Oryctolagus cuniculus: one gene and its partners. The protein of the gene in region 1 purifies or fractionates together with the protein of each later gene. This does not show direct contact. Links are inferred from orthologs where the notes say so. Each region holds a gene or a part of one and is shown in the gene's direction. Other genes may lie near its edges. The genes, in order: TACC3, ENAH, CKAP5, VASP and SLAIN2.

Region 1 (5,791 bases):
GAGTGGAGGGAGCGGGGACCCTGGTGGCGGGAGCCCTGCCGAGCGCACAGCTCGCCCCCGGGTACGGGCGGTGGCAGTGCAGACCTGAGGTCCCAGAAGGCTGCCCCGGAAGCCGACAGGCATGCGGTGACCTTTGGGGCTGAGAAGGCGTCGTCTCGGTTTTGGTCACTTAGAAACTCGGTCGTGGAAGGCTGGGAGTGGAACGGAGGGGCCTCAGCTGGAGAGGCCCCCCACCCCGTGGGCCCTGGGCAGCCCCGCGCCCTGCCTGTCCTGCCCGCGCCCGGGCTGGGGGCGACTGCCTCCCTCCTGAGGGCTGGGGGCCTTCACAGTGCTGCGTCCCCACGTCCCTGCACCGGCCCAGTGGTGTGGCGGGGCTGCCTGTGGTGCAGCTGCCCCTCCCTGACACACGTGGGCGTCGCATGCTCCAGGGCCATCTGTGCGTGAATGTGCAGAGCCATGTCTGTGTGTGTGTGTGCAGAGCCGTGTCCTTGTGTGTGTGTGTGTGTGTGTGTGCAGAGCTGTCTGTGTGCGCGTGCACAGAACAGTATCTGTGTGTGTGTGTGTGTGCGTGTGCAGAGCCGTGTCTGTCTGTCTGTGTGTGTTTGTGGGCAGAGCCTTGGTCTGCTGTCCTGGGGCCATCTGTGCACCGTGTGCAGAGCGATGTGGCGTCGGTTTCTCCGTGGTCATCGCCTGCTGGCTGAACGCCCGGGGAGAGGGGCGCTCGCACGGAATGTGTGCACGCGTTGTCCTCGGCAGTCCCTGATGGCCGGTGCTGCACACCGGGAGGCACGGTGCCGTTTCTGGAGTCGGTGGTCTGCACCCCGGCCCCCGCAGGAGCTCCTGGTGTGGGTGCCATCCCACTTGTCTCCCTCCTCAGAGACTCGTTTACTTACTCGAGAGGCTGAGTGACAGAGGTCCTCCATCCGCTGGGTCAGTCCCCAGATGGCCACAGCAGCCGGAGCTGGGCCAGGTAGAAACAGGAGCCAGGAGCTTTTTCCAGGTCTCGCACGTGGGTGCAGGACCCAAGCACTTGGGCATCTTCCACTGCCTTCCCAGGCCACAGCAGAGAGCTGGGTGGGAAGTGGAGCAGCCGGGACTCGAACCGGCGCCCATGTGGGATGCCGGCCCTGCAGGCTGGGGCTTTATCTGCTACATCAGAGCGCCGGCCCCGATAAGTTGATTTTGTGAAGGGTTTAGGCCCCTCGAGGTTTTCCAGCCTCGGATGACGTGACAGGTGTTTGTTCTGGAACAGCTGTAGACGGGCGCTCACCCCAGCAGTGCCTCGGGTGCCGCGCTCGGTGCCCCCGCCCCGTGAGAGCAGTCGGCTCCCAAGTGGCAGAGGCCTGAGCCGTGGGCCAAAGCTCTGGTGCCGGGCTGGGCGGAGGGCGGGAGGAGGGTTGGCTCCCAGGGCCCAGCCGGGCCCCCTGACCTCTGCCCCTCAGTCCTAGGCACGGGGGCCGAGATCGATTACCTGGAGCAGTTCGGGACCTCCTCGGTGAGTGTCCCGCGGCACCCTGGCCACGCCCCCCCAGTGTGTGTCCCGCGACACCCTGGCCACGCCCCCCCCGTGTGTGTCCCGCGGCACCCTGGCCACGCCCCCCGTGTGTGTCCCGCGGCACCCTGGCCACGCCCCCCCCAGTGTGTGTCCCGCGGCACCCTGGCCACGCCCCCCCAGTGTGTGTCCCGCGGCACCCTGGCCACGCCCCCCCGTGTGTGTCCCGCGGCACCCTGGCCACGCCCCCCCGTGTGTGTCCCGCGGCACCCTGGCCACGCCCCCCCGTGTGTGTCCCGCGGCACCCTGGCCACGCCCCCCCCAGTGTGTGTCCCGCGGCACCCTGGCCACGCCCCCCCGTGTGTGTCCCGCGGCACCCTGGCCACGCCCCCCCGTGTGTGTCCCGCGGTACCCTGGCCACGCCCCCCCGTGTGTGTCCCGCGGCACCCTGGCCACGCCCCCCCCCCCCCCCCCCGTGTGTGTCCCGCAGCACCCTGGCCACGCCCGTGCTCCAGCCCTCCCTGTGCTGCCGGGGCTGTCCGGTGTGGCCAGGGCGGAGGGCGCGCTGGGGCGTCCCCGGGCCGCGTGGAACCCGCTGAGTGCCCCGCCTCCCCCAGTTCAAGGAGTCGGCCCTGAGGAAGCAGTCCCTGTACCTGAAGTTCGATCCTCTCCTGAGAGACAGTCCTGTGCGACTCGTGCCGCTGGCCACGGCCGCTGAGGCGGACAGGTGCGGGCAGGGTGGACAGGGGCGGGCGGGCAGCAGCACGGGGGGCCCCGTGCGAGCAGACGCGTGTGGGCTGACCCAGCCGCCTCGCTCCTCGGCCCCCAGCACGCAGGTCGCCGCTGAGCCCTCGGGGGGCCCCCTGGACACGCTGCTCGTGGACCTGGACCTCGGGGGAGCCCTGCCTGTCCCTGTGAGCGCGTCGGGCCCCCTGGAGCCGCAGGTCGCTGACGGTGGGGGCTGCTCGCTGGTGCTGGGTGGGAGGAGGCGAGGCTGAGAGCCTTGTGACGCGTCTCTCATCCCTGCAGGTGCCGGCCCAACCCCTGTGTATCCTGGAGCCCAGCTGTCCACCCCTGCCCGTGGGGCCCATCGTGGACGTGCTGCGGTACAGCCAGCGAGACCTGGACGCCGCAGTAAGGGGCAGGCCGCCCTGGGGCTTGGCGGGGCGGGCGCAGCCGCGGGGCACACCTGAGCAGGTGGCAGTGGGGCCTGGTGTAAGTCCATCTGCACCATCCTCTGGGTTAGGACCCCAGCCTCTGCCCTCAGACACGCAGGGCCTCGGCCGTTGGCACCTGGTGTGCCCGGCTAGAGTCACGTGGGGCTGACGGGCACACCGGGAGGATGGGCGCTGCGGGGCCTCTGCTGGGCTGTGCCGTGGCGGGTGTCACGATCCAGCGTGTGAGGCATGTGAGGCAGGTGGCCTCGGCCTGGCCAGGGCCCCCGGGGTCCCCTGAAGCCCCGTGGAGCCCGTGACTCCTGACGTTGCTGTGGGGAGGGGCGGGGCGTGCAGCTCCCGCGTGTGTGTGATTCCCAGGTGCAGGCGGCACAGCAGGAGAACCTGGAGCTGAGGAGCCGGTGTGAGGAGCTCCACACCAAGAACCTGGAGATGGGGTAAGGCCGCGGGCCGGCGGGGCTGGCGGGGCCCGGGGCTCGTGGGGCCGGCGGGGCTGACGGGGCCCGGGGCCGCCGCGGCGCAGCACTGACCGCCCTCCCCCGCAGGAAGATCATGGACGGGTTTGAGGGGATCGTGTACCAGGCGATGGGTAAGTGCCCCGCGTGCCTCGTCCGCCCACGGCCACGGGGCTCTGGGCAGAGCTGTGCTGGGCCCCGTCCTGTCCCCACCGGCTGAGTGCGTCCAGCAGCCCCTGTGGTGGCCGGGCTCGGGCCGCTGCACTCGCCCCTGTGGGACTGCGTGAGGGCGGGTGTCCGCTGGCCCCGTGCCGGCCTGGCCCATGCGGTGGGAGGGCCATCTGGCGGGCCCGCGCTTGCCAGCGCCCTGGTGCCTGGCATGCCGGCGCCCCGACCCGGCTGCTCGCTCTGCAGAGGAGGTCCAGAGGCAGAAGGAGGCTGCCAGAGCGGAAGTGCAGAAGGTCCTGAAGGACAGGGAGCAGCTCGCCGCGGACCTGAGCTCCACGGAGAAGTCCTTCTCCGACCTCTTCAAGCGCTTCGAGAAGCAGAAGGAGGTGATCGGCGGCTACCGCAAGGTAGGGCTGCCCGCTCCTCGGCCCGGCCTGGGGCAGCCGTGCCCGGGGGGCCGCAGCGCGGGGGCGGCTCTGCCGACTGCAAGGACAGCGAGGCTGACCGCTGGCCTGGGGGCCTCCGTGGGTGCCTGGGGTCAGGGTGAGCCGCCTGTCTCCATCCTCAGGCCAGTGGCTGGTCCCCAGCCGCCCACAGAAGTAAAGCGGGTACTCCATGGGGGCAGCTCTGCAGAGCGCGTCGGGGAGGGTCGTGAGCACAGAGCCGGGCAGGAGACACCCCCAGGGGCCGCAGCAGCCCCCAGCCCTGTCGGCACGTGACGCGCTATCGGCTGTCCTGGCGGGGGCCGGAGACAGGGCCTCTCCGACAGGGCCGTCTGCCCCGGAGACGCTGCCTCCCTTGCCTCGCCCGTGCCCGTGCCCGTGCCCGTGCTGGGGAGCTCCACGGGCGCACTGAGAAGCCACTGTCCTGTGTGCAGAGGCAGCGCTGGGCTGGACGCCGGGGGCAGGGAGGAGCTCGGGTCAGGGGGCGTGGAACCGGGTGCTGCCCATGGCTGCGGGCAGCAGGTGGCGGGGAGGGGACCCCCGCGGGGACGCCCGCTGCGCACAGTGGCGACTTCCCAGCCAGCGAGGGGCAGCACCTGTGCAGAGGCGAGCGTGTCAGTGTCGGTGCAGTGGGCGGGGCAGCCAGGGGAGCTCGGGTGGCAGGCGCTGGGCCCTGCTGAGCCTGGGGGGAGGCGGCTCCCACGCCAGGGCCACCATGCTGGTGTCAACTGCCAGCCTGCAGCCCGTCCCCTCTACCGTGCCCAGGCACCAGGCAGGCCTTGCCTCACCCCTTGTCAGCTCGCAGGGGTGGCTGGGTGGCGTGAGAGAGGGCAGCTGTGGGTGCTCCCCCCAGAACGAGGAGTCGCTGAAGAAGTGCGTGGAGGACTACGCGGCGCGGGTGGAGAAGGAGGCCCAGAGGTACCAGGCGCTGAAGGCCCACGCGGAGGAGAAGCTCAAGCTGTGAGTGCTGGGGGGGGGGGGGGGGCGGGTGGAAGGGCGGGGCCAGGCGGAAGGGCGGGGCTCAGCCGCTGCCCTCTGTCCGCCCAGGGCGAGCGAGGAGATCGCCCAGGTCCGCAGCAAGGCCCAGGCGGAGGCCCTGGCCTTCCAGGCGAGCATGAGGAAGGCGCAGATGCAGATCCAGTCGCTGGAGAAGACCGTGGAGCAGAAGGTGAGGCCCGGGCCCCCGGCCGCCCCCAGCCGCCCCCAGCCGCCACCCGCCCCCAGCCACGGCCGCTTCCCTCCTCCCAGGTGAAGGAGAACGAGGAGCTGACGCGGATCTGCGACGACCTCATCTCCAAGATGGAGAAGATCTGAGCTCGCTGCTGCTTTCAGCCGCTCTCTTTGGCTGCTGAATAAAGTTCCCCTTAGGCTGCCGTGGGCTGTCGCCGTCTGGACTGTGCAGTGTCCCCAGCAGTGAGGGCACCGCTGGGCGGGCAGGGCAAGCTGGTGGCCCCGGGAGGCCAGGGGAGCCCCAGACGCTGGACATGGTGCGGCCACGGCACCCGGCGGCCAGCGCGTGCGGCACTTGGGTGGCGGGGAGGACCCAGAGCAGTGTGTCCCTGCAGAAGCAGCCCCGTGGCCGCCCCTGCCCCCAGCGCGGCCCGGCTCTCTGCTGTCCCCAGAGAAGCAGGAGGTAGAACTGCTGCCCAAAGCCCAGTGTAGACAAGCGGCAGCGTCTCCGAGTGATAGTCGGGGCTGGCTGCAGACAAGGCCCCCACTCGTGCCTCACCCCGGAGCAGCCCTGCTCCTGGGGGCACTGAGGGGGTTCCGCTGAGCCCCAGGGACAGGTGCAGGGGGCTCGGCAGCCCCAGGAGCCCTTCCCAGCAGGTGGCGGCTCAGCCCTGACTCCCCTTGGCCGGGGCGAGGCTGAGAACGGGCCTTCGCCCTGTGCTGGGGGCTGGTGCTGCCGGCCTGGACCCCACATCCCCAAGAAGCAGGCAAAGGCAGCGGCCAGTGAAATGGGCGAGGCCAGCGGGGGCTTCGCTGTCCACGCAGCCTGGGGAGGGACCGTGGGCCACAGCAGGCTTTGATGGCCGTGGTGAGGGCCCGGCACTGGGA
Region 2 (6,494 bases), on another chromosome or scaffold:
CTGTCCTTTGGTTCACTCTCCAAATGGCTGCAATGGCTGGAGTTTCGCCAAATTGAAGCCTGGAGCCAGGTGCTTCTTTGTTTGTCTTGGTTTAGAAGTCTTAAAATTTCATGCCAGTCCATCAGTCTTCATAGTTTCTGTCTATGGTGTCCTGTGTTCCCAACCTAAAATTCACATATATATTCACCTACATTCTCTTTTATTACACTTATAGTTTCATTAAACTGAAGCCATCTGAAAGTGGAAGATGGAAATATAGTGTCATTTTTAAAGATTTATTTATTTATTTGAAAGGCAGAGATACAACAGAGAGAGAGAGAGGTCTTCCATCTGCTGGTTCACTTAATTGGTGGCCATGGCTGGAGCTGGGCTGATCCTAAGCCAGGAGCCAGGAGCTTCTTCCAAGTCTCCCATGCAGATTCAGGGACCCAGCGACTTTGGCCATCTTCTACTGCTTTCCCAGGCCATAAACAGAAAGCTAGATCAGAAGAGGAGCAGCTGGGACTTGAACCAGTGCTCATGAGGGATGTTGGCACTGCAGGCAGCAGCTTCACCTGCTATGCCACAGCGCCAGCCCCTGAAGTTTAGTGTCTGTGAAGTATTTGGTCATGATTTCATCATGTAAGGAGTCTTTATTTTCTGAAAATAATTGGTAAAGAACAGGGAATGTAGAATGAAGTGACCTAGAACATTTCAGAGATAATAGTGCACAGAAGGGGTAGAGAGAGAATGTTTTATTTGGATTTAATCTTTAAAAGTGCAACAAAATTATGAAAACATTTGTGTTATAGTTGTGACTGTGTCTAAAATTCTTAAGAGTAGAAGAAGAATGAATCAAGTGTGGGTTGCTTTAAGAATATTTTTGCATAATTTTTCTGGCAAAATTTGAAGGCAGCATGAAACTATATATTGTTCATGTTATTATGGACTTTTGCTGTATGATAAAGTCCTTTTTGCCAAAATGGTCACAAGGGCTTTATTAGTTTTCCTAGATGCTTTCCTTTGATTTTTCAAATCATTTTCTTTTGAGGGGCTAGTATTCTCTGTTGGTCTTCTGCAATCATTTACATGCTTGCAGCTGCAAGTAACAGATGTAAGGTTCTTTTTTTTTTTTTTTTTTTTTTTTTTTTTTTGACAGGCAGAGTGGACAGGCAGAGAGAGACAGAGAGAAAGGTCTTCCGTTTGCCATTGGTTCACCCTCCAATGGCTGCCGTGGCTGGCGCACTGTGCTGATCCGAAGGCAGGAGCCAGGTGCTTCTCCTGGTCTCCCATGGGGTGCAGGGCCCAAGCACTTGGGCCATCCTCCACTGCCTTCCCGGGCCACAGCAGAGAGCTGGCCTGGAAGAGGGGCAACCGGGACAGAATCTGGCGCCCCAACCGGGACTAGAACCTGGTGTGCCGGCGCCGCTAGGCAGAGAAGATTAGCCTATTGAGCCGTGGCGCCGGCCAGATGTAAGGTTCTTAAACATTAAGACAGTTTATCTCATATGGTTGGGAGTCCAGAGATGGGGTACATTCCAGACACAGCTGAGTCAGTGGCTCACTGGTGTCTCAGGCCCCTGGTGGTTCAGCCATTGTGCTCTCTGCCTCATGTTGATAGTGGGGTAGTGTGGTGGAATGAGAAGGCCATGCCAAGATGGCTGCTGGCAAGTGAGTGTCAGTTACTCAGGAATGGCTTCGAAACCCACCTGGCAACAGAGCCTGCCTGGCAACAGGCTGTGATTGGATGGCTTTGGAAACCACATGGCAATGGAGCCTGCCCCACTAGCTCTGGTCAGCCACTGGAACAGCCCACAGCCTGTGTTCAGTCATGCCATTCCTGATAACCATTGTTCCTCATTCCTACCCCCATCTGAGCAAGCACTCCTGTGGTCTCCTGTTTTGAGCGCTGGTTAGTCAATGATGGGTAAGATCCCCTGGGGGACAACCTAAGACAGGCACAGCCGCGTACGGAGACCACGTGGAAACGGGGTCAACAATGGTATGGCCAAGAATCATGCCTCCCGTTGCTCGAAAATAAATGAAAAGGGGGAAATGTGTGGAATGAGAAGGCCATGCCAAGATGGCCACTGGCAAGCAAGTGTCAGTTACTCAGGAATGGCTTTGAAACCCACCTGGCAACGGAGCCTGCCTGGCAACAGGCTGTGATTGGTTAGGGCATAAACCACCCCTTGACCAGATTGGCTGCCTTGGCTATTTAAGCTGCTGTACCCCAATGAGTCTGTGGGCTGCTCGCCTCTGGCCCCCTTTCACCTGACTCCCAGGGTCTATGTGGTGACTCCGCGCCTCTTGCCCCCACCACACTCCTCTCAGAAGGAATCCATAGCAGCAGGGTAGGCCATAGGATTGCTAGTCTCATATCCAGACCCAGTAATTCTTGGAGGAAGAAGGCTCATCTTTACTCATTTTCCTTTATGTGACCCCTTAAGGTATAATTTACAAACAGCTGAATGCACAAATCACAAGTGTACATTCGGCTTGGTAAATTTTTATTATGTGTACACATCTGATACGGAACATACTTATACCCTGTGAAGTTCCCTCGTGCCCCCTTTACTCAGTATCCTTCTCAGATCTTTACTTTTGTCAGTGGCTTTGCTATTGGTTAGAAATATTTTTCATCATTTTCAGTGACATCATAAAGGCATGCCTCTCTGAAAGGTTTACACTTAAACTTTGTAGGTGATTTGCATTGTGTTGTTTTGGGATTGAAATAGCTGCCTATCAGTGAGAGACTGACAGGGCAGACGTGAAGTGAACTGAAGTGAAGGCTAATGCTGCCTTGGAAGGGATGTTTGCTGGGGACTCATTATCTACATGGTTAGTTCATTATTTCATATTTTTATGTTAGGATTACTTTTGCTTCCCTGGTAACTTCTGGAGTCTGACAATGAGCTGTTGTGTTAAGATCCTTGTGTCTACCTATTTTATTTTATATAACATTTTTTACATATATGTTGTTTGGAATTCTCTATTTTACTGATCTGTTATCCCAATCCAGTCTGGTAACTGTGCTACAGTCGGAGAGAGCTTCTTGAAATTCAGGTTTGATCAGTGCAGCCTCATGTCTGAAACACTTCAGTGGCTTGTGATGCTCTTAGAATTGAGGTGAAGTTTCAGTTTATCATAGCCTAAGTCTTGATGATTCTTACTTTGTGAATCCAGTGTTAATAACATGGCTCAATAAGTTAAATCCTCAAAAACCATTACAGAGGTGGGCATTTGGCTTAGTAGTTTAAATGTGACTTGGTGCACGCATCCCATATCTGAATGCCTGGGTTCTAGTTCCAGTTCCGATTCTGATCCCAGCTTTCTGCTAATGTGCACCCTGGGAGGCAGCAAGTGATGGCTCAAGAGGTTGAGTCCCTGCCACCCATGTGTGAGACCTGGATTGATTCTCAGCTCTTGGCTTTGACCTGGCCCAGATGTGGCTGTTCTGGGCATTTGGGAAGTGAACCAGTGTGTATGGAAGCCCTCTGTCTCTATTTTTCTCTCTCTCTGCCTCTCAAAAGGATAAATAAGTAAAAATGACAAAAAATTAAAGGATAAGCTAGAAGGAAAAGAACATTGTTAATACAATTATTGTAAGTAAGTAAAGGAAAGAAAGTTGTGCAGAGACATGACCCATTTCCTTAGGCTTACAGTTTAGTGGGGGAGGATGTAATCGGTTTTCAAGAGTTGTGGCAGGGGCCAGCGCTATGGCGTAATGGGTAAAGCTGCTGCCTGCAGTGCTGGCATCCCATATGGACACCGGTTCGAGTCCCGGCTGCTCCACTTCCGATCCAGCTCTCTACTATGGCCTGGGAAAGCAGTAGAAGATGGCCCAAGTCCTTGGGCTCCTGCATCCACGTGGGAAACCCGGAAGAGGTTCCTGGCTTCGGATTGACGTAGCTCCAGCAGTTATGGCCAATTGGGGAGTGAACCAGTGGATGGAAGACCTACCTCTCTCTCTCTCTCTCCCTTTCCCTCTCCCTCCCTCCCCCCTTCTCTCTCTGTGTAACTCTGACTTTCAAAGTAAATCTTTTTTTTTTTTTTAAAGATATTAAGCCATGAGGATTCTGCTCACAAGTATGTATTAAAGCTGTTTAAAAAAATAAAAGAATTGTGGAGAGCAGTACATAGTACCATGAGGGAAGAGAGCATTTCATACATTTGTGGTTGATTCTCTTCTGAGTAATGTCATTCTTACCATATTTTAAATTTTTCTTAAAATATCCTCTAGTACTTATGTCACTTAGTAGATTTCCAGTGTTTTTTTAACAATCTAACTTTTAAAAAAGTTAAAATTTTAATTGATATCATAACTTTATGGAATACGGGGTGTTGGCTTTAATAAATGTACAGCATACAATGCAAATGATTAAATCGGTCTGATTAGCATGTCTGCCACCTCATTTGGTGGTACATTTGAAATTTTGTTAAAGTATACAGTGCATCATTTTTGACTATATTTACCATGGTGTGCAGTAGATCTCATGCTGTTATTTTGTATTGCTTTTGTGAATTACTATTTTGTTCTCCTTTAAGGAAAAGCTCTCTGAATGTTATCTTCCTTCTGGATATGAAAATTTTTTGAGGCATTTTCATTTTGGGGGAAGATCGTGTAATAGAATCAGAGTCGTTCTGCTCACTGCCTCTGAGGCCTTGACTTTCCTGAACCTCCATTTCTTTCTCTGCAGAATGGGACTAATAATTCATTGTCTTATTTTGAGACTTGTCATTTGTTGAGAGGATTTATGGATTTGGTGTATTCTACTTGTTTTCTTTTTGTCATACCATATGTATTTTTTAAAAATACAGTTCAGGCTCCTGAATATTAAGCAAGCATCTGTTTAGTTTTTAGAGTTTCTCTATTTTATTTTATTTTATTTTTTTTTTTTTTTTTAATTTTTTTTACAGGCAGAGTGGACAGTGAGAGAGAGAGACAGAGAGAAAGGTCTTCCTTTGCCGTTGGTTCACCCTCCAATGGCCGCTGCGGCAGGCGCGCTGCGGCCGGCGCACCGCGCTGATCCGATGGCAGGAGCCAGGAGCTTTTCCTGGTCTCCAATGGGGTGCAGGGCCCAAGGACTTGGGCCATCCTCCACTGCACTCCCGGGCCACAGCAGAGAGCTGGCCTGGAAGAGGGGCAACCGGGACAGACTCCGGCGCCCCAACCGGGACTAGAACCCGGTGTGCCGGCGCCGCTAGGCGGAGGATTAGCCTAGTGAGCCGTGGCGCCGGCGAGTTTCTCTATTTTAAAAATTAAGAATGAACCTTTAAGTTAGAAACAGGTCCCCTGACTGTAGACAAATTATTTGCATCCCTAGGAACATGTCCTCCTTCTCCTCAATGACTGCCTTACTTCTTTCATTGTACTTTCTGTTTTTGTTTGTTTGTTTGTTTTTAACGATTTATTTATTTGAAAGAGTTAGAACTTCCATTCACTGACTTACTCCCCAGCCAGGGCTGGGCCAGGCCAGAGCCAGGAACCAGAAGGTTCATTTGGGTCTCCATGTGCGTCTAGAAGCCCAAGCACTTGGGCTGTCTTCCATTGCTTTCCCAAGCCATTGGAAGTGCAGCAGCCAGGGAATGAACATCATAGCATTAAAGGCTATGGCTTTACCTGCTGTGCCCTGACTTGGCCTCAGAAGGATTTGTTTATTGTTTCCCAAAGATAGAGATGGGCTTTTTGTCTTCTTAAGTGTGTTGACTGTATTCTGTGGAAAGCTGGCTTCACTGAGCTCCCCTCCAGGGAACTTCAGTTTTCTCTTCTAGTTTATCTTTGGTTGTCCCTCCAGACTGTCTTTCTCCATTGAACTTACAGCGTCTGTTGGCCATCAGCTCATTTGACACATCAGACTTAATTTTCTCTCAAAAAATGAAGTGTAAGCTCATTTTACTCAGGGCACATTTTCCTGAGCACTTTCTGTTATGTTGAGTATAATCAGAGACTTCAATAACTTTTTTGAATACATTAATAACAGTTAAACCCAAGATTGTTGATTTAGGCTTTCTCCTTTTAATTTGTTAGCTAAGAATAAATATTGGACGGTACGCTGAACAAGTTTGTATTCTATACAATATATTTTTATACCCCTTTAATAAAGTTAGAGGTACGAATAAGTGATGAAGAATGGCATAACATTTAGATAAATTTTAATACATGTTGAAAGAGTAAAGACCAGGGCTGGTGTTGGGGTGTAGTGGGTTAGGCTGCTGCCTGTGATGTTGGCATCCCATATGGGCACCAGAAGTGGCTGCTCCACTTTGATTCAGCTCTCTGTTAATGGCCTGGGAAAGCAGTGGAAGATAGCCCAAGTGCTGTGTCCCTGCCACCCATGTGGAAGACCCAGAAAAAGGTCTTGGCACCTGGCTTTGGCTCAGCACAGCCCTGGCCATTGTAGCCACGTAAAAACAGCAGATTGAAGATCTCTCTCTCTCATCCTCTCTGTCCCTCTCTGTCCCTCTCTGTCTCTCTCTCCCTCTCCCCCTCTCTCCCACCTCTTTCCTCCCCC
Region 3 (5,791 bases), on another chromosome or scaffold:
ACTGAAAACACTTTGGAAATTGATACATATATGGCTAAAGGCTTTCTCATCATCTGTATATTTAACCACCCAGAGAATAGAGTGATGTTAGGTAAGAGTTCACATTTATAACACGTCCTTTTTTTCTTGAAGCGCCTGTTGAAGATGCTGTTTCCAACACTGTAGAACCCAAGCCTGATCCCAAAAAGGCCAAAGCTCCAGGAGTTTCCTCTAAAGTAAAGGTATGTTAGCTCTGCACACATAGATGTACATTTGCTTGTAGGTGTGTTTTGTACGCTGAGTCTTCCTACTAGGAAAGATCCTATTATATATGAAAGAATATCACCATTCTGGATAGTGTCAGATTATCAGGTTTCATCAAGTTTCTGCAGCTTATTTATAAAAATTCCCAAAAGAAACATCCTGCTCTCAAGAAATACTGTTTTAGTTCCTGTCACGCTTATCTCTGGGGAATATTTGCAGTAGTGAAAAGGGAAGGAAAGCATATAGGGATGGCAGAATAAATGCTTAATGCTGACTTGGATTTGAGCAAAGGAAGGTTATCAGCTTCCTTCAAATTTGACAGTTAAGTCATCCTACTAGAAGGTGTTCTGATTAGTCTGCAAGGAAATAACTTTTGTCCCTAAACCAGTGGGATTTATTTTGATGCGTTACCAATCCTGTCAATGTCTCAGACTGGTGTTCATATGGGATCCCAGTGTTGTATACCAGAACTGTGCTGCAAGTATGAAGACTAACTTGATCTCTTAAGTCCAAATAGGCATTTTGGTGTAACTCATTGAAATATCCCTTCCTCAAAGTGTTCCATCCTCTTTCTAAGGTGTCCACAACTTATTTTCTGGATAATTTAAAGAATTGTGTTCAAATGCTCAACTTTAAAAACCCCCTGAGTGATTTTTTAATTTAATTTGGGGAAGCACAGCAGATTGTCATAAGTTCTGAAATCAAGATTCTGAGTTGGTTGCTATATTCAGTGGAAAATTGTATAACTATATGATTAATAGTAACTCTAAATAGAGGAAACTATTTGATTAATTCTATGTAATTCAGGAAAACATAGAGGAGTAGGGACTTTTGTTAGCCAGTGCATGTGTTATTGCACCCCCATCAAAGGGTGGGCTCCCTTTACCTCATTGCATTCATTTTGGTGGATAATTATCTTCTAAACTATCCAATACATTGCTCTTTTCCTATCTTCCCTGTCCTCATTCCAAATTCTAACAAGTGCTTATTTTAGTGTTTTGATCACAAGTGCTCTGAAGTATTTTTGGCTACAAAAAATTTTCCAGTCTTTTGCAATATACAATGCAGTTTCACATAACTGATCTCATATTTGTTTTGACTGAATGACTTCAATGTTCCAACCAGAAAGAAATTCTAGCTAACTAGAAATGGTGAACTCTTGCAGCATTTGTAATAACCGTGATTCAATAATGAAATTCAAATTTTATTTCAAGGGTGCTGTTGTTCACATTTCCTTTCCTTCTGATAGAGATTCTAAGTCTTCAGCTATTTTTTAAAACTTAGTTACTTAAGTATTTTTGTTTCTAGCACCTTTCTCAAGAAACAGGTTCAAAAGGTATCCCATTGTACTGCTGTGAGGTACACTTAAATTTGGAGAGAAGCAGAAAAGCTTTCTCAGCTAAGTAATGCTAATATGTAAATGGTATTTGAAATGTCACTAATATGGAAAGTTACAGTGTTGAAAAAAGCTGGACTGGAAATGGAGCAGTCAGGCCTCGAACCGGTGCCCAATGAGATGCCAGCACCATAGGCTGCAGTTTAAGCTGCTGTGCCACAATGCCAACCCCCTGAATAAATCTTTAACAAGGAAAAGAAAGTAGTCTGTGATCCAGACTAATGCTATAAAATAGCAGCTTTTCCAGCTATATTGCATGCCAGTCCAAGAACTATCCAACAATTATTTAAGAATGACATTAGAAACATTTCTAGAAAAGCTGTATAAAAACATGATTAGATGCAAATTCTGTGACTGCTATTTCATGTGGCCTATGATGTAGAGGGTGGTAATTTCTAATGTGCCCTTTCAGTGGCAACAGTAGCATATTCCCCAGGAGAAATGATATAGCTAATCAGTATTCTCTGAATGGGATTGTAGAGTGCACAAGGAAAGAAAGTACCGAGCAAAACCAGCCTAAAGGAAGATGAAGACAAATCTGGGCCTATTTTTATTGTTGTTCCAAATGGAAAGGAGCAAAGGATGAAGGATGAAAAAGGATTGAAGGTAAGGAAGGGATACAGGTTTTCAAGAGTTTTTGCATGTTTTCATTTTGTTAAGCAAAGTTAATTTTGCTTTTTGAAAATCTTAATTGTGAAATATTTCATATTTATTATTGTGAAATATCTAGTAATTATCTGAATCTTTTGCTTATAAAAAGATTATTTTATGGAAGCATTAATTTCCTATTATAGAAACTACAGAATGGAACTATTTGCTTAATTTTTATCTAAATAAAAAAAAGTATTTAGTAGTTTTTGGTGTTTTATTTTTGTATTTTTTTAAATCAAAGAATGAAGATATCCATTGATTTTTTTTTTTTTAAATCAACTGAACATAAGTAATGGGCTGGCTTCTTTAATTTTTTTTTTTTAATAAAGGCTTTTATTTATTTGAAAGAGTCAGAGAGAGAGGGAGAGAAAGATCTATCTTCTGTCCACCAGTACACTCCCCAAATAGCCACAGTGGCTGGAGCTGGCCTGTTTCAAAGCCAGCAGTTTCTTCTGGGTCTCCCACAAGAGTGACAGGGGCCTAAGAGCTTGGTCATCTTCTGCTGATTTCCCAGGCACATTAGCAGGGAGCTGGATTGGAAATGGAGCAGCCAAGACTCAAACTGGTGTTCATATGGGATCCCAGTGTTGTAGGCAGCAGCTCTTACCCACTTCACCATGACACTGATCCCTAATCATTTGGTACATGGTGTCTTTTTTTTTTTTTTTTTTTAAGATTTATTTATTTATTTGAAAGAGTTAGAGAGAGAGAGGTCTTCCATCTGCTGGTTCACTCCCTAGATGACCGCAACAGCTGGAGCTTTGCCAATCCGAAGCCAGGAGCCAGGAGCTTCTTCCAGGTCTCTCACGTGGGTGCAGGGGCCCAAGGACTTGGACCATCTTCTACTGCTCTCCCAGGCCGTAGAAGAGAGCTGGATCAGAAGTAGAGCAGTCGGGACTTGATCTGGCACCCATATGGAATGCCGGCACCGCAGGCAGCGGCCTTACCCGCTACACCACAGCGCCGGCCCCTAAATAAGATTCTTTACCTCATTTCAATTGAACACATTATAACCTCTTTTTACTTTGTGTGTGCTGTTTTGTTTTTCAGGTGCTGAAGTGGAATTTTACTGCCCCTCGGGACGAATACATCGAGCAGCTAAAGACTCAGATGTCTAGTTGTGTGGCTAAATGGTTACAAGATGAGATGTTTCACTCAGACTTCCAGCATCATAACAAAGCCCTGGCCGTCATGGTTGATGTAAGTCTGTGTTAGATAAATATACACATCTCAGGCAAAACTGAAAATACTGAGCCTATGAAATAACAAGAAGTTTGCATGACTTGAAAAGGCTGTAGAATACACCATGTTCTCTGTTTTTACAGCTGTCTTAAATTATTTGATAGACTGTGTTTATATCTTTTAGTTCTTAATTGGAGACTTAAAAAAATCTTTTCTTTTTGCACTGCATTAAAATTTAAAGGTACTTTGCCTGATGGAACGTATGTTTTTATACACTCTTATTTGTGGGAGTTTTGTTTTGTTTTGAAGCACTTGGAGAGTGAAAAAGAAGGTGTCATTGGTTGCCTGGATCTCATCTTGAAATGGCTTACCCTACGGTTTTTTGACACCAATACAAGCGTCCTGATGAAAGCACTAGAATATTTAAAATTGCTCTTCACTCTGCTAAGTGAGGAGGAATATCATCTGACTGAGAATGAAGCCGCTTCCTTCATTCCCTATCTCATTCTCAAGGTAATTTGTTGTTCTCACTCCAGGGAACTGCTTAAACTTTCAGCTGACCTTACTTGTCCTAATACTCACCTTTCAAGATGTCGTAATGCCTAGGAGAGACCATTGCTACTCAGAAAAGGCTTCACTTAATCATTGTTTTTCTTGTTGGTTAGGTTGGAGAACCAAAGGATGTCATTCGTAAAGATGTTCGTGCCATCCTGAACCGGATGTGCCTTGTCTACCCAGCCAGCAAGATGTTCCCCTTCATCATGGAAGGAACCAAATCCAAAAACTCTAAGCAAAGAGCAGGTAAAGTAAACAATTTAAATTGAGACACAAATCCTTGCCACTGTGACCCCTGAAGAAATAGTTTGTAGATGAACAGGGACATCTCCTTGGTGTCTGTTTAATGGATTCCAACTTTCTGATTTAGACTGTGAGAGTGATGAGTTGCACACTGGTGGAGCCATAGTATCAGGTGATACAGGCACCACTCAGTACCACCCTGGTGACAAAATCAAGTGCACAGGGGCCATCTGACTCACAGGCATTCCTTTCTTTCAGGGACAGCACTTACTGTAACACCATTGTTTTGTTGCTTTGGCATTAAACACGAGAAAATTTTAGACTGAACCAGAATAAGATTTTAGTCCTTCATACAGGCCAAAGGAAATCTATCTAGCAAGGATAAACCTCTATGCCAAATGTGTGTTGAGTCTCATTAATCTAGCCTTTCTCCACCAACAGAGTGCCTGGAAGAGCTGGGGTGTCTGGTCGAGTCCTATGGCATGAATGTTTGCCAGCCAACCCCAGGAAAAGCCTTAAAGGAGATAGCTATTCACATAGGAGACCGTGACAATGCTGTACGCAATGCTGCCCTCAACACCATTGTAACTGTGTACAATGTACATGGGGATCAGGTGTTCAAACTGATTGGAAATGTGAGTGATTTTTCTTAGCATTTAGCATGTTGTGAAAAGAACTGCAAGATCTCTTAGGTGTCAGCTTTCCTGCCATCTCAACTGCAACTAAGATTTTAACCTCTGATAGCACACTCAGCCCAGCAGTGCATTGTAAAGTCCAGACAGAACTCTGGGGCGTCTTTGCCTGTTGTTGGACGTGGAGGCTGTGTTTACTGGACATGACATTTTCTTTTCCGGGCATTCTATTCATAGCAGTTTGCTTTAGATATGAATGCTATTTTTGAATCAAGAAATCTGAGCTAGTTTAGGGTTTAAATTCTGCCTGGCAATCTGCTCTGTAAATTTTTTTAAAGATTTATATATTATTTATTTGAAAGGCAGAGTTACAGAAAAGCAGAGGCAGAGAGAGAGATCTTCCACCCGCTGGTTCACTCCCCAGATGGCCACAATGGCCGGAGCTGTGCCGATCTGAAGCCAGGAGCCAGGATCCTCCTTGGAATCTCCCACGTGGGCTCAGGGGCCCAAGGACCTGGGCCATCCTCCGTTGCCTTCCCAGGCCATAACAGAGAGCTGGACTGCAAGTGGAGTAGCCGGAACTCAAACCGGCACCCATATGGGATGCTGGCACTGCAGGTGATGGCCTTCCCCGCTATGCCATAGCACCGGCCCCAGCTCTGTAATTTTTAATGTGTTTAATTTTCAGTTAGCAAGTACTCTTTTGTGCACTATGAATACTGGTGCCTATTAGAGCAAGACGATCTGGAGCACAGCAGACATTTGCCCTAGCGGTTAAGATTCTGGTTAAGACACCTGAATTTCGGGGGCCAGCATTGTGGCATGGATATATAGCAGCTACCTCTGATGCCAACATCCGTCTGGGTGCTGTTTCACACCCCATGCTCCA
Region 4 (6,291 bases), on another chromosome or scaffold:
CACCGGCAGGGAGCTGCATGGGAAGTGGGGCTGCCCGGCACTGCAGGCAGCCCCTTAGCCCACTGCGTCGCAGTGCTGGCCCCTGGCCCCTGCTTTGTACAGCACTTGAGCTCAGAGCCCTGTTTAGGGGGCTGGTGCTGCCGCGCAGCGGGTTAGGTCACAGGTTCAAGCCCCGGCTGCTCCACTTCTGATCCAGCTCCCTGCTAATGAGCTTGGGAAAGCAGCTCCTGCAGCCATGTGGGAGACCCGGAAGAAGCTCCTGGCTCCTGATCGGCCCAGCTCTGGCCTAGCTCTGGCCGTTGTGGCTCTAAGGGGCGTGAACCAGCAGATGGATCTCTGTCTCTCCCTCTCTCTGTGACTCTACCTTTCAAAATAAATAAATAAATCTTAAAAGAATGTATATTTGTAAAGGGTAAAGAAAATGCAAGCCAGCCAGACCTTAGGTCTAATATGTCCATTTGGAGTGTTCTAGACAAAGTTTGTGGGGGCTGGCACTGCGGTCGCAGGTGCCGCCCGTGGCACTGGCATCCAATAGCGCCAGTTGGTGCAGCCTGTGGCGCCGGCACCCCCTATAGCGCCAGCTGCAGTCCCGGCTGCCCAGCTGCCCTACTCCCTGCTGACGCACCTGGGGAAGGACGTGGGCCCTGCCATCGGTGAGGGAGACCCAAGTGGCGTCCCTGGGCCCTCGCTCCAGCACTAGGACCATGTGAGGAGTGCATAGCACATGGAAGTTTCTCTCTCTGCCTTTTACAGGAAAAGCCCCCCTCCTGTAGTGCAGCTGGCCCCCCAGAACTGTCACCCCTCCCATTTCACAGGTGGAAAAATCGAGACGGAGGCCTTGCCCAAGGTCATGGAGAACTGAGGGCTGGGCTCGGGGAGGCCCAGAAATCGCGACACCCTCGCTGGACCGGGGTTCCAGGTCTCCCCGAGCGGGTGGCTCACGCAGGCCGGCGACTGGTCCCGGGACGAGGATCCCCCAGGTGCGGGGCACACGCGGCCGCACGCTGCGCCCCCCAGTTTTGGGGTTCTACTCCCCGTGCCTCGGCTTTCGGGGTTCTGGGGGCTCGGACAAGAGGACCCCCAGACTTACCCCCGATCCGAGCCTGGGCTCACCCACTCGGAAAGTCCGGGCTGCGACTTCCCGGGGCCCGCACCTTACCCCGGGCCAGGTGGCTCGGGGCGGGAGGGGGCGTGACACGTGACGTCACGGGGCGGGGCCGCTGCGGAAGCCGGGGGGGGGGGTCGGTGCTCCTCGGGGCCGGCGTGTGGGGGAGGGTCCCCCGGCCGCGGGCCCACCCGACCGCTGGGATCACGCCGTCCTCCGTGGGAGGCCCCACCGGGGCGCGCCTCGGGCCGGGGTCCCACCCCCCACCCTGCCCTCGGGCAATCCCCGCCCCCATCCCGACCCCGCGGCCGTGAGTCAGCGGCCGGCCGCGCCCCCTCGGCCCACTTCCTCCTCACCTTCCCGGGCCGGCGGGGGGCAGGGAGACGGGTGGGGCCCCGCGCGGGGGAGGGGGCTCGCCCCTCCGGGACCCCTCGTCAGTCTGCGGAGGAGGGGGACGCAGTGTGTGTGTGTGTTAGTGGTGGCAGCGGGCGTCCGAGTGGGGGGATTTAAAGGGGAAGTTTGGGCACCTCCCCGTGTTCTCCCCCTGAAGTCCAGCAGGACGTTGGGAATGGACGCGTCGGTGGGCGCCGCGACCCCGCCGAGACGCCCCGAGACCCCCGTGGCGGGAGGGCGCTGGGGTCGCGGAGGGCGCCCTTCCCTGCACCCCCACCCCAGCGGGCTCGCCCCCTCCTTCCGCGGGCTCGGGGGTGACGCCCAGGGTGCAGCCCCCGCGCAGGGCCGCCGCGGACAGCGAGATTGGGGAAGTGCGGGGCTCGCGCGCGGCCCTTTCCGGCGCCCGCTGCCGCCGCCCCCCGCCCGCGGGCGCCGCGGCCCCTTTAAGGCGCGAGGCATTGTGGGAGCGGGGAGTGGAATTTTGGAAGGAAATGTAGCGAAGAGAAGTACAGTAGTAAGAGTGAGGTGGTGGCGGCCGCCGGCCGAGGGGGCGCGCCGGGGACGCACGCCGCACCCCCCGCACCGAGCCCCCAGGCGGAGGCGGCGCCCGAGAAGCCGCCCCGGCCCGGCGCCCGTTCCCCCCAGGAAGCCGGACTCTATGGGGCGGGACCCCGGGGGACACTGAGCGGAACCCGGCGCCGGCCGCGAACCCCCGCAGCTCGAGCCAGGGGCGCCCCGGGAGCGCCGAGCCCGCGGGCGCGCCGCCGCCCGCCCCGCAGCCATGAGGTGAGCCCCGCGCGGCCTCCGGACCCCTCCCCGCCGGCCCGCCTTTGTCCCCCTCCCCCCGCTCGGCCCGGGCTGGACTTCGGGGACCCGCGCCCTGGGGGGGGGGCTCGGGTCTGGGCCGAATCGTCTCGGACGAGCTCGGAGCAGCGGCCGCCTCCCCGTGACCCGCGAGCCCCGGGGTGGGCGCGGGCAGGTTCTCCTGGGAGCCTTCAGGTTTGGGGGCGCTCGGCAGACTCCCGAATTTTTTTAGAGACTTTTTCTGAGGACCTCCAAGTTGGCAGAGACTCCTCGCGGGGATGCCGGGGTGCAGGCGGCTCTCAGGACCCGCCCAGACCGCACCTGGGGGGGTCCTGGAGGGGTGGCTGGGGGCCGTTCGGGGAGACCTGGGACCTGGAGCGGACGCTGAGACGCGGATCCTGATTGGGAGGGTCCCCCGTTCCAAGTCTCCCCAAGTGGGGCGGGCCGCGCTCCTAACTTCGGGGTGCCGCTAACCCCCTAAATCCGGGGGTGCGCTGGGATCCTCCCCGGGGTGCGCGGACCCTCGGGCCGGGCGCAGCCTCGCGGGGCTGCTCGGGGCTCCCCTCCCCCGTCGCTCCACCGCGCATGCTGTGCAGGAGCCAGGCCGTGCCTAGGACGGGGCGAGCGCTCGCCGCTCGGTGCCCAGGGCGGCTCCCGGCGCCGGGCCAGCAGGGCGGCCCCGGTCCCCACCTGCGCGGCCCCGGGCGGGGAGGGGGCGCGGCAGCTGGGGGGAGGGGGCCTTTGTCTTCCTGACTCACCTGTCGAGACAGCTGGTGTGGGGGGGCGGGCTCGCCCCGCCGCGGCCCCTCCCCCCCGGCGCTCGGGAGCCGTGGGATTGGAGGAAGGGGCGCGGGGAAGCGTCAAGGTCACAGCCTTCGCCCCCTGGGACCCAGGCCTCCCGAGAGTTCGGCGCTCTTCCCAGGAATTTAATCCTGGGGGGGAGCGGCCCGAGGACCTGCCCTGGACTCCTGGGCTCACCTGAAGGCCGGGCCGGTGCGGGCTGGGGGGGTACCCACGGCGGCCCTCCCCGCTCCCCGCTCAGGTCCCCCATAACCTCTCCCGTGGGGCTGGAGTCTGACAATACTATCTCCCTTCCTCCACTCTCTCTGGGACTTCCTGCCCCGAAGCCTCAGCGCTGGGGGTGGGGGGGCTCCTGGGGACGGCTGGGGATTAACCCCCTGGTGCCCAACGTCCTGCCCTTCCCCCCGGGCCCCCACACCCCTGCCCTCTGACCTCAGGGTGGCATTCCTTTCTTGGGACCATTAAAGACCCCCTACCACCCGCCCCAGGGCTGTCTTTCTGCTAAAGGCTGGGTGGAAATTCTGGGGCGAGGGGGCATCCCCAGACACCCTGGGGACTTCCTGCCGGTTCCTTCCCCATTGCGGGGCAACATCCCTTCTGGGCCTGCCCCAGGGGCTGCCTGCTTCCCTCACCCTCTCCCCCCTCCCCCGGGACTCCGCCCCTCCCCCCCAGCGTTTCCGGTCCCAGGCCCCGTGGAAGGCGGATGGCGGATGTCCGAGGTAGGGCCGCCCCGCTCGCTGTGAGACCGACCGTAAAAGGGCAGGAGCAGTGTCTGGCCCAGCCCCCTGCCCCCGCCACCCCCAGCCCTGGCCCTCTCCCAGGGCCCCCTCCCGCTGTGGCTGTGGCCGTGGTGGGGCCTCCTACCTCCTGGGGGATGGCAGGAGTCCGACCCTGGCCTGTCCCACCAGAGGGTCTCCCCTGCTCGCTTACAGCCGACTTCCTCTCCGACGGTCCACGCCCCCAATCCCGGCCAAGGAGCCGGATCCTGCAGAAATTCCCAGGCCAGGGCGCCCCGGGGCAGGAGGCTGGGAGGGTCGGATTGCTGGCCACGGCTTGGCCGGGGGCAGCTCAGCTGGAAGGGATGGAAAATCACAAGACCAGTTCTTTCTCTCCTCTGACAAATATTTGTTGAGTGGGACCCGGCGCTGGGATCCTGGGGGAGGTGGAGAAGGGGCGGGAGCCGCTGGGAAGAGGGGCTATGCCTTAGCGGGGTAGCAGCTATAACTGCTCTTACTCGAGAGGCGACGGGAGACCAGCTGGTGAGCACCTGCCCGGTGTGGCCAGCCTGTCCCGGCTCCGAGCCGGCGTCCTGGCACAGTTTCAAGAGGCGGAAGCTGTTACAGCCTTGTAGTCACCCCTGCCCCCAGTTTGCAGCCGGCCGACCTCTTAGGCTGTCGCAGAGAGAGGACAGTACAGAGAAAGTGCGGATGACGCGTTTTCCTTGCACAGACACGCGGGATGGTCCAGAGGTGTGGTGGGGGCCTGCCTGGGAAGCCTCGCCTGCCGACTTCCCAGTGGGAGACAGGCCGCACAACCCCCAGAGACCCCCGGGCTGGGGGGCTGGGCCGGGGCCGGGGCTCCGGGTCGCAGGGCTCTGGCCTGGAAGAATTTGTGTGATTGTGGTGTCTGAGCGGGTGACCCCCAGAGGCGACTCATGGGCAGGGGGACCGAGGCGCTCACTGACAGACCCCAGGGGACCACTGGCGTCCCTCTCCCTGGCTTCCTGCCTGTGGGGTTTCCCGTCCGGCTTTTGCTGAGTTTATTTATTTTTTCCCAAACGTAATCAAGTAAGGAATTAGGTCTCCACAGGTCATCCCAGCCCCATCATTTAGCAAAAGGAAGAGTGAAGCGAGGGCCCCGTGCCCACGGCCCCCAGCCCCCAGCCTGCCTCCGCCTCCCGCCACAGCGTGTGACGCTGTTAGCAGCCTCCACACTTTTGGGGGAAAGACAGACTCTTGAGCCACCCAGCCTTTTCCTCATCTTTCCGTGAGGTTAAAACGTAAGTGGGCTTGGAGTAAGTGGGCTCGCGTCTTAAATGAGATCAGACAGGAGCCCCGGTGCTTTCGTGCAGTGTGACCTGGGCCAAGTGTCTTCACCTCTCTGTGCCCGGGCAGGCAGCGGGGTTGGTCTCCTGAGGCTGTGGGGTCGTGGGAGCCGGGAGCGCGGTCTGGGCCGCCAGCCACTGTGCCGCCGGGTTTGCCTTTTTACTCGGATGTGTTCAGAGCGTGTGCTAGGCGCCCTCCAGGTTCCGGGGACGCAGTGGTGCGCAGAGGGGCGAGTATCCCTGCCCCGCTGGACCTGGTGCTTTGGCAAGGCAGACAGGCGCGTGCCAAGCAGGGACGCTGCTGGAAACCGTGTCGCGGGGAAGCCGGAGGAAGATGAGGTGGCCAGGGAGGGCTTCTGGGAAGAGGTGACGTCTGAAGGGGGCTGCACCTGCACAGGGCTCGGGCAGGCCTTGGTCAGTGGGCGCTGGGAGAGGAGACTGGAGAGCAGGCAGGGCACCCAGGCCGGCAGGAACCTGGTGTGGATCCTGCAGAGTGGGGCATGGTGCTGCCCCTCCTCTGGGTCTCAGCCGGATCCCTGTGCTCTCACGGGGCAGGAGTCGGAGCCGCCCAGGGTCGCCCAGCAGGTGCCTGGCCCCGAGGCCAGGCCAGAGCCTCAGCAGGGCAGGGCCAGCTGGGAGCCCAAAGTACAGCCAGGGTGGGGCAGTGGCCCCGGGCGCCGGGCCAGAGCCTGCCCTGGGTGTGGGTGGCAGGTGTGGGCGCGGCCTTAGCCCTACCTGCCCTGCCGGGGGCAGTGGGAACCAGAAACAGCCCTGGAGGCCTGCTTCTCTGGCTTGCACCTGGTGTTTGGGCAGGGCCGGCGCAGTCCCCGGGGGGCAAGACTGCGGACCTGGGTTCGAATCCTGCCCCTGCCGCTGCTTTAGCAGTGTGTGCGGGGGCGCATCCCGGCCCTGGTCGCCTCTGAGCCGAGGGGGAGGTCATGTCCGCCCCAGGACTGCCGTGAGGGTGCCAGGCTGGGCCGTGTCAGTGGTCAGTGTCACACCCCAGCACCCGCCCGGTGGAGACAGAGCCTCTGTGGGTGTCATTCCCCGCCCCCCCAGCCGCCAACTTCCTCTTTTCAGGAAAAACCCACGGTGGGGGGCACCCAGCCGAGGCCGGCGCTTCCCCCTGGGCTGTGCGACCTTG
Region 5 (5,791 bases), about 41 Mb from region 1:
GCTGACATCCCATATTGGCTGGCTGGAATTCCACTTCCAATCCAGATTTGCTGAATTTGCTGATGTGCATGGGAAGACAGCGGAAGATGTCCACATACTTGGGCCCCTCCCACCCACATGGGAGGCCAGGATGGAGTTTCTGGTTCCTGGCTTCAACCTGGCCCAGGCTTGGCTCTTGTGGCCATTTGGGGTGCGAGGGAGGAAGAGAGGGAAGAAAGGAAGAATAATCTACCTGTCTCTGCCTTTCAAATAGATATAGATATCTTAACAAACGAGGAAAGAAGAAAGAAGATAAAAGAAAAGAAGAGAAAGAAGGAAAAATCATTGCACATCAGAGTGCTTGGGTTCACTACCTATGTCCACTCTTGAGTCTGCCTTCCCACAGTTACAGACTCTGGGAGGCAAGGGTAATGGCTCAAGAAATTGGGTTCCTGCTGCCCACACGGAAAACCTGGATTGAATTCCCCTTTTCTGGCTTTGGCCTGGCTCACTCCCAGCCACTGTGGGCAGCTCTCTGTCTGTTAAATGAATTTGAAACAAAAAAAAATTTTTTTAAGAACTTTAATCATGATGTTCCTTGGTGTAGTTTTCCCTGCTTTGTTTTTTTGACCCTGCTTAGGGTTTTTCTCCAGCTACTTAGATATATAATTTTCTAGTTTTCATTAAGATTGGAAGTTTTTAAGCCATTGTTTCTTCGAAAAAAAAAAAAAAGGTTTTTTAGACCCACTCATTACCATTCCATCCTAAAATCTGGGACTATATCAGATCACAAAATACTGGCCTAAAGACCATTGAGGTTTTATCTTTTTGTTTTGTTGAGTCTTCTCCTCTGAATCCTTTAGTTTAGATCATGAGTCTTAATGTCGTCAGATGCTTTTTCTGCAGCATCTAAACTGCCATTCCTGTCCAGTGAATTTAGCGTTTTGGGTACATTGTAGCATTACGTCTTTAAATGTTCTACCCAGTTCTTTTCTCTCCTCAGTGCTTGCATCTGTGTATTTTTGAGCATATATAATAATTCTTTTGAAATCCTTGCCTGTTTCTATTGACTAATTTTTCTCCTGATGTTTTATATTATGTCCTTGCCTCTTTAGTATAGTAGACATCGTAGAATTTTCCATTGCTCTTTGCTGAATTTTCTCTCCTTTTAAATAGCAGTTGAACTTTGTTGTGGCAAGCAATTAAGTTATCCATGAATTAGTTTGAACCTTTATACGTGGGATCAATGACTGTTTTCTTAAGGACCAGATAGTAAATATGTTAGGCTTATGGAGTGGTATGATCTTTATTGCAACTACTTAACTCTGTCATTGTAACTTGAAAGCAGCCATAAACAATATATAAGTGAATGGATCTTACTATATTCTAATAAAACTTTATTTACAAAACAGCTCACTTCTCCATGGGTGATAATTTACTGACCTCTGCTTTAGAAACTTTTTTTTTAAGATTTTTTATTAGGCCGGCGCCACGGCTCACTAGGCTAATCCTCTGCCTTGCGGCGCCAGCACACTGGGTTCTAGTCCCAGTCGGGGCACTGGATTCTGTCCCAGTTGCCCCTCTTCCAGGCCAGCTCTCTGCTGTGGCCAGGGAGTGCAGTGGAGGATGGCCCAAGTGCTTGGGCCCTGTACCCCATGGGAGACCAGGAGAAGTACCTGGCTCCTGCCATCGGATCAGCGCGGTGCGCTGGCCGCGGCAGCCATTGGAGGGTGAACCAACGGCAAATGAAGACCTTTCTCTCTGTCTCTCTCTCTCTCACTGTCCACTCTGCCTGTCCAAAAAAAAAAGATTTTTTATTTTATTTGAAAAGCAGAGTTACAGAGAGGCAGAAAGAGAGGGAGAGCGAGCGAGCGAGAAAGAGGTCTTCAGTACACTAGTTCACCCCCCAAATGACCGCAATGGCCAGAGCTGAGCCAGTCCAAAGCCAGGAACCAGGAGCTTCTTCCAGGTCTCCCACATGGGTGCAAGGGACCAAGCACTTGGGCCATCTTCCACTATTTCCCCAGGCCATAGCCAAGAGCTGGATTGGAAGTGGAGCAGCCGGGACGTGAGCTGGCGCCCATATGGGATGCCAGCACTGCAGGCAGCGGCTTTAACCTCTACACCATGGCACCAGCCACTAGAAGCTTATTTTTAAGCTTTATTAGAACGACTTTAGAGTAGCCTTTATTCTAGGGTTAGTTTATCCTCCTATTAAGACTTGGCCCTCTTTAAGTGTATGCTGGATGTTTGGCAAGGACATTCTACTCTGTGGTTGAAACTCAAATGTGTCGTAATTCTGTGTGAGCTTTGGCAGCTCTTCAGTTTCCAAAGGTTCCATTCTCCTTTCTCCCAGGCTCATAGAGCCTTATCCTGAACATAGGTAACTCAATACTCAGCCAAAGATTCAAGCAGAGCCCTAAGCTAAGTTCTGTAGGTGTTCTGAGCAGCTCTCACCTCTAAAATATCCTGCCCTTCAAATTCCGATTGTTGTCTCCTTAATGCAGCCTGGTAGCTTTGATCTTCATGGGATTCCCCTCTCTGCTCTTAAAGCAAAGTGTTCCTGGACCCCCTATACTCTTCCCAAAAAGCCAGGGTTGATGATAGGGCTCAAGCAATTTGTTTCCCTTCTTTCAGGAATTATAGCCCTGTACTACCTGTTGTCCGGTATTTAAGAAATGCTGTTTGTATTTTGTCTACATTTATAGATGTTTACAGCAAGAGAGCAAATATCTCTCCAGTTTCACTGTCATGACTAGAAGATCCAATAGTGATTTTAAAATAAATACATAGCTAAGTTCCATTTCAGACTGGTTTCTCCAGGAGTGGTAGCTGGGCCCTCATATTTGTATAAACTCCTTGGGATTCTGATGTACAGTCAAGTTTTAAAGTCATGGCTGGGAGTGTTAGACCCCAGCAGAGATGATCTGAGTATATATTTTAAACATGATGTTGCTGATATTTAGAACTTTGATTAGACAGAGGGTAGATAAGATCAGCTAGGAGAGAAAAGAGCTATGTACAAAAAATACTGAAAAGGAGGTAGGAGATTAATTTCTCTTGTCTTGAACCTAAAGCTAGCATCCTCTTCTTTTTCCAAAGACCAGATGACAATGGCAGCCAAACTCATCCATCCTTTCTTTTACCTGCTATTGTGATAGACCTTACTGTCACTTATGTCCTGTACATGGATTGGTAAAAGTGAGGAAAAGGAAATTTTAGAGAATAATCCATCTCTATGGTCTTGGGACCAAATCTCTTGTCCATGCTTTCCCTCCAGTTGTATCTTCCTTAAACTAATGTGGGTTGTATGAAATGGATGTTCTCTTTGATGTCTTGTTTTGGCTTAAAAATGAATGCAAATTGTGCATTTTACTCTCTCATATATCAATATTTGTTTTAATATAAAAATGTAAGGTAGATGTTGTGGCAGCCAAGAATATGCACGTCTGCTTGGGACACCCACATCTCATATTGGAGTGCCTACCTTCGATTCCAATCCAGTTTCCTTGCTAAGGTGCCTCAGAGGCAGCAGATGCTGGCCCAAGTAGTTGGCTCCCTGGATATGGGAGACCTGGATGCAGTGCCTGGCTTCAGATTGGCCCTGCTCTAGCTGCTGTGGAAATTTGGAGAGTGAACCAGCAGATGGGAGAGATTTCACTCTCTCCCTCTGTCTGTCTTCCTCTCCCTCCCTTCCTTCCTCCTTCTGTCACTTTGCCTTTCAAATTAATTAAAAAAAAATTTTTAATTGTTTTACCTAGTAAAATTGACATTCTAAAAAAACAGATATCTTTGTCCTGTGACTTCATTTACCTCTTGATATACCCCTAGATTTATAACTTTCCTGTTTTGTAATGCACAGCTATATGAGCAATTGTGTGGGTTTTTTTTTTATATAATTTTTGGTTTCTTACACATTTTTAGTCTCGTGGTGATTTGAGACATGGAGGTACGGTCACCAGATACTTGATTCATGCATATGTGAATGTTTCTTTGAGGGGAAAATGTGTTTCAAATTCTATGTAACAATCTGGTATCCAGCCTTTTTGTCACCTCTAGAGCATTCACTAGGTTAGTTGTAACCATGAGGAAGAATCCTGTATGCATTTTATCTTTTAATATGCCTTTTATCTTCTGGTATTTTGGGATCCAGTCTGGCCTAGTTAAAACACTGTTGTCAAGGACAGTTACAACTCTCCAATTAAGGACTTGGTTTTGTAGAACTTACCAGTTACCAGTTACCTTTTTCCTTTTATTAGGATAGAAATATCCTTTATTTGCTGTGTTTCTACAACATAATGTTTCATGAATACAGATGTACTAGTGCCTAGTCATCAGGTGTAACATAAAACAGAAGTTTCACTTACACTTGGTCTTTGGTTGAAACACTGGTTTTTTTTCTTTGCCGTTCCGCAGTACCTTCTCCAGGGAAATTTCGCTCCCCTGCAGCACCATCTCCTTTGGCTCTCCGGCAACCAGTGAAAGCCTTTAGTAACCATGGCTCTGGCTCTCCTGGTAGCCAAGAAACAACACAGCTCACACAAACCACCTCTTCACCTGGGCCTCCCATGGTTCAGAACACAGTCCCAGCAAATCCTCCCAGCAATATCAACAGCACCACCCTAACCAGACCTGCAGGGACAACTGCAATGAGAAGTGGCTTGCCCAGACCCAGTGCCCCTTCTGCTGGGGGTATACCAGTGCCTCGCAGCAAACTTGCACAACCTGTTCGCAGGTAAGTGGGGTGCTCTGTTTTGGCATTCTTAAGTGTCTGAAAGTAGGTGGACTGGAAGTAGCCTTGTTTCTTGTTGATAGTGAGCAGAGAGTCATAGTAGCTTCCCACTTGAGTCTCAGCACAGTTTGAATAAAACCTCACTTCACTGTATTAAAGATACCCTTATTGGGATATTATACCAATATGGTTCAGATTACATTTGTCCCAGTGCCTTACTGATGAAGCATCTCAGAGAATTCCTAGAAAAGGCTGTTAGAATCATTCAGTTTGGTTGTGATATTTGAATATGATATTCAGTAAAGATAATGAAAACATATTTGAATCTAGAGTGATATTTAAGATAAAACTCCTTTCTTCCAACTCTGAGTGCAATCTATAAGGGTGATTTTCAAACCTGCTATAACAGAATTATCTGTGGAATTTGTGTAGAAGTAGAAGCCTGAGTTTTACCTTCAGAGTCTGTAGCTCTGGTGTGAAACCCAAAATCTGTGGCTGTGCTATCTCTTGTTTGTTTATTTTTCAGGTGATTCTGAGCTCAACCAAGACAGGAATCATGCCTCTGTAATCTTTTTTTTTTTTTTTTTTTTAAGAGAGGCAGAGGCAAAAAGATCTTCCACCTACTGGTTCACTCCCCAAATGGCCACAATGGCCAGAGCTGAGCCAGTCAATCCAAAGCCAGGAGCCAGGAGCTCTTCCAGGACTCCCACGTGGATACGTGGGTGCAGGGGCCCAAGGCCATCTTCTACTGCTTTCCCAAGCCGTAGCAGAGAGCTGGATTGGAAATAGAGCAGCCGGCACTCATATGATGGCAGCTTTACCTGCTACACCTCAGCATTGGCTCCTGCATCTAGTCTTAATCTACCTTTCAAGAACAGGATTACCACCATCAGTAAATTTAGGTGTCAAGTATAGTTAAGCTTGAAATACTTATTTGCTTGGAAACAGTATTTGTCCCCTAAGCATTTAAACTGAATTACCCATACTACTTAATTCTAAAATAAACATTTTACATCTACAGACTTATTAGCAGTGTACAATAGCTATTTGCTCTGTACTCTGCTAAATAACTTATACTTA

Evidence for each region.
Region 2: the proteins of TACC3 (region 1) and ENAH purify together in Homo sapiens (co-immunoprecipitation; 3 studies listed by BioGRID and IntAct, with this or other methods). This does not show direct contact. The link is inferred for Oryctolagus cuniculus from reciprocal best matches to the Homo sapiens genes TACC3 and ENAH.
Region 3: the proteins of TACC3 (region 1) and CKAP5 purify together in Homo sapiens (co-immunoprecipitation; 5 studies listed by BioGRID and IntAct, with this or other methods). This does not show direct contact. The link is inferred for Oryctolagus cuniculus from reciprocal best matches to the Homo sapiens genes TACC3 and CKAP5.
Region 4: the proteins of TACC3 (region 1) and VASP purify together in Homo sapiens (co-immunoprecipitation; 3 studies listed by BioGRID and IntAct, with this or other methods). This does not show direct contact. The link is inferred for Oryctolagus cuniculus from reciprocal best matches to the Homo sapiens genes TACC3 and VASP.
Region 5: the proteins of TACC3 (region 1) and SLAIN2 purify together in Homo sapiens (co-immunoprecipitation; 3 studies listed by BioGRID and IntAct, counting the BioPlex papers as one, with this or other methods). This does not show direct contact. The link is inferred for Oryctolagus cuniculus from reciprocal best matches to the Homo sapiens genes TACC3 and SLAIN2.

What each region holds. Positions count from the first base shown.
Region 1 is NC_091433.1:621,170-626,960, forward strand, and holds the end of TACC3 (transforming acidic coiled-coil-containing protein 3), read left to right. Parts: intron 1-1,442; coding exon 1,443-1,495; intron 1,496-2,109; coding exon 2,110-2,219; intron 2,220-2,321; coding exon 2,322-2,436; intron 2,437-2,521; coding exon 2,522-2,626; intron 2,627-3,027; coding exon 3,028-3,104; intron 3,105-3,212; coding exon 3,213-3,256; intron 3,257-3,536; coding exon 3,537-3,697; intron 3,698-4,586; coding exon 4,587-4,693; intron 4,694-4,780; coding exon 4,781-4,901; intron 4,902-4,981; coding exon 4,982-5,047; 3' UTR 5,048-5,106; downstream 5,107-5,791. UniProt on the Homo sapiens protein: Plays a role in the microtubule-dependent coupling of the nucleus and the centrosome. Involved in the processes that regulate centrosome-mediated interkinetic nuclear migration (INM) of neural progenitors.
Region 2 is NC_091444.1:39,805,985-39,812,478, forward strand, and holds the start of ENAH (protein enabled homolog), read left to right. Parts: upstream 1-2,381; 5' UTR 2,382-2,791; coding exon 2,792-2,820; intron 2,821-6,494. UniProt on the Homo sapiens protein: Ena/VASP proteins are actin-associated proteins involved in a range of processes dependent on cytoskeleton remodeling and cell polarity such as axon guidance and lamellipodial and filopodial dynamics in migrating cells.
Region 3 is NC_091432.1:19,173,641-19,179,431, forward strand, and holds part of CKAP5 (cytoskeleton-associated protein 5), read left to right. Parts: intron 1-132; coding exon 133-221; intron 222-2,119; coding exon 2,120-2,245; intron 2,246-3,340; coding exon 3,341-3,490; intron 3,491-3,781; coding exon 3,782-3,985; intron 3,986-4,137; coding exon 4,138-4,273; intron 4,274-4,399; exon of another isoform or gene 4,400-4,510; intron 4,511-4,711; coding exon 4,712-4,905; intron 4,906-5,791. UniProt on the Homo sapiens protein: Binds to the plus end of microtubules and regulates microtubule dynamics and microtubule organization. Acts as a processive microtubule polymerase. Promotes cytoplasmic microtubule nucleation and elongation. Plays a major role in organizing spindle poles.
Region 4 is NC_091449.1:11,383,139-11,389,429, reverse strand, and holds the start of VASP (vasodilator-stimulated phosphoprotein), read left to right. Parts: upstream 1-1,940; 5' UTR 1,941-2,279; coding exon 2,280-2,284; intron 2,285-3,650; exon of another isoform or gene 3,651-3,822; intron 3,823-6,291. UniProt on the Homo sapiens protein: Ena/VASP proteins are actin-associated proteins involved in a range of processes dependent on cytoskeleton remodeling and cell polarity such as axon guidance, lamellipodial and filopodial dynamics, platelet activation and cell migration.
Region 5 is NC_091433.1:41,593,367-41,599,157, forward strand, and holds part of SLAIN2 (SLAIN motif-containing protein 2), read left to right. Parts: intron 1-4,395; coding exon 4,396-4,714; intron 4,715-5,791.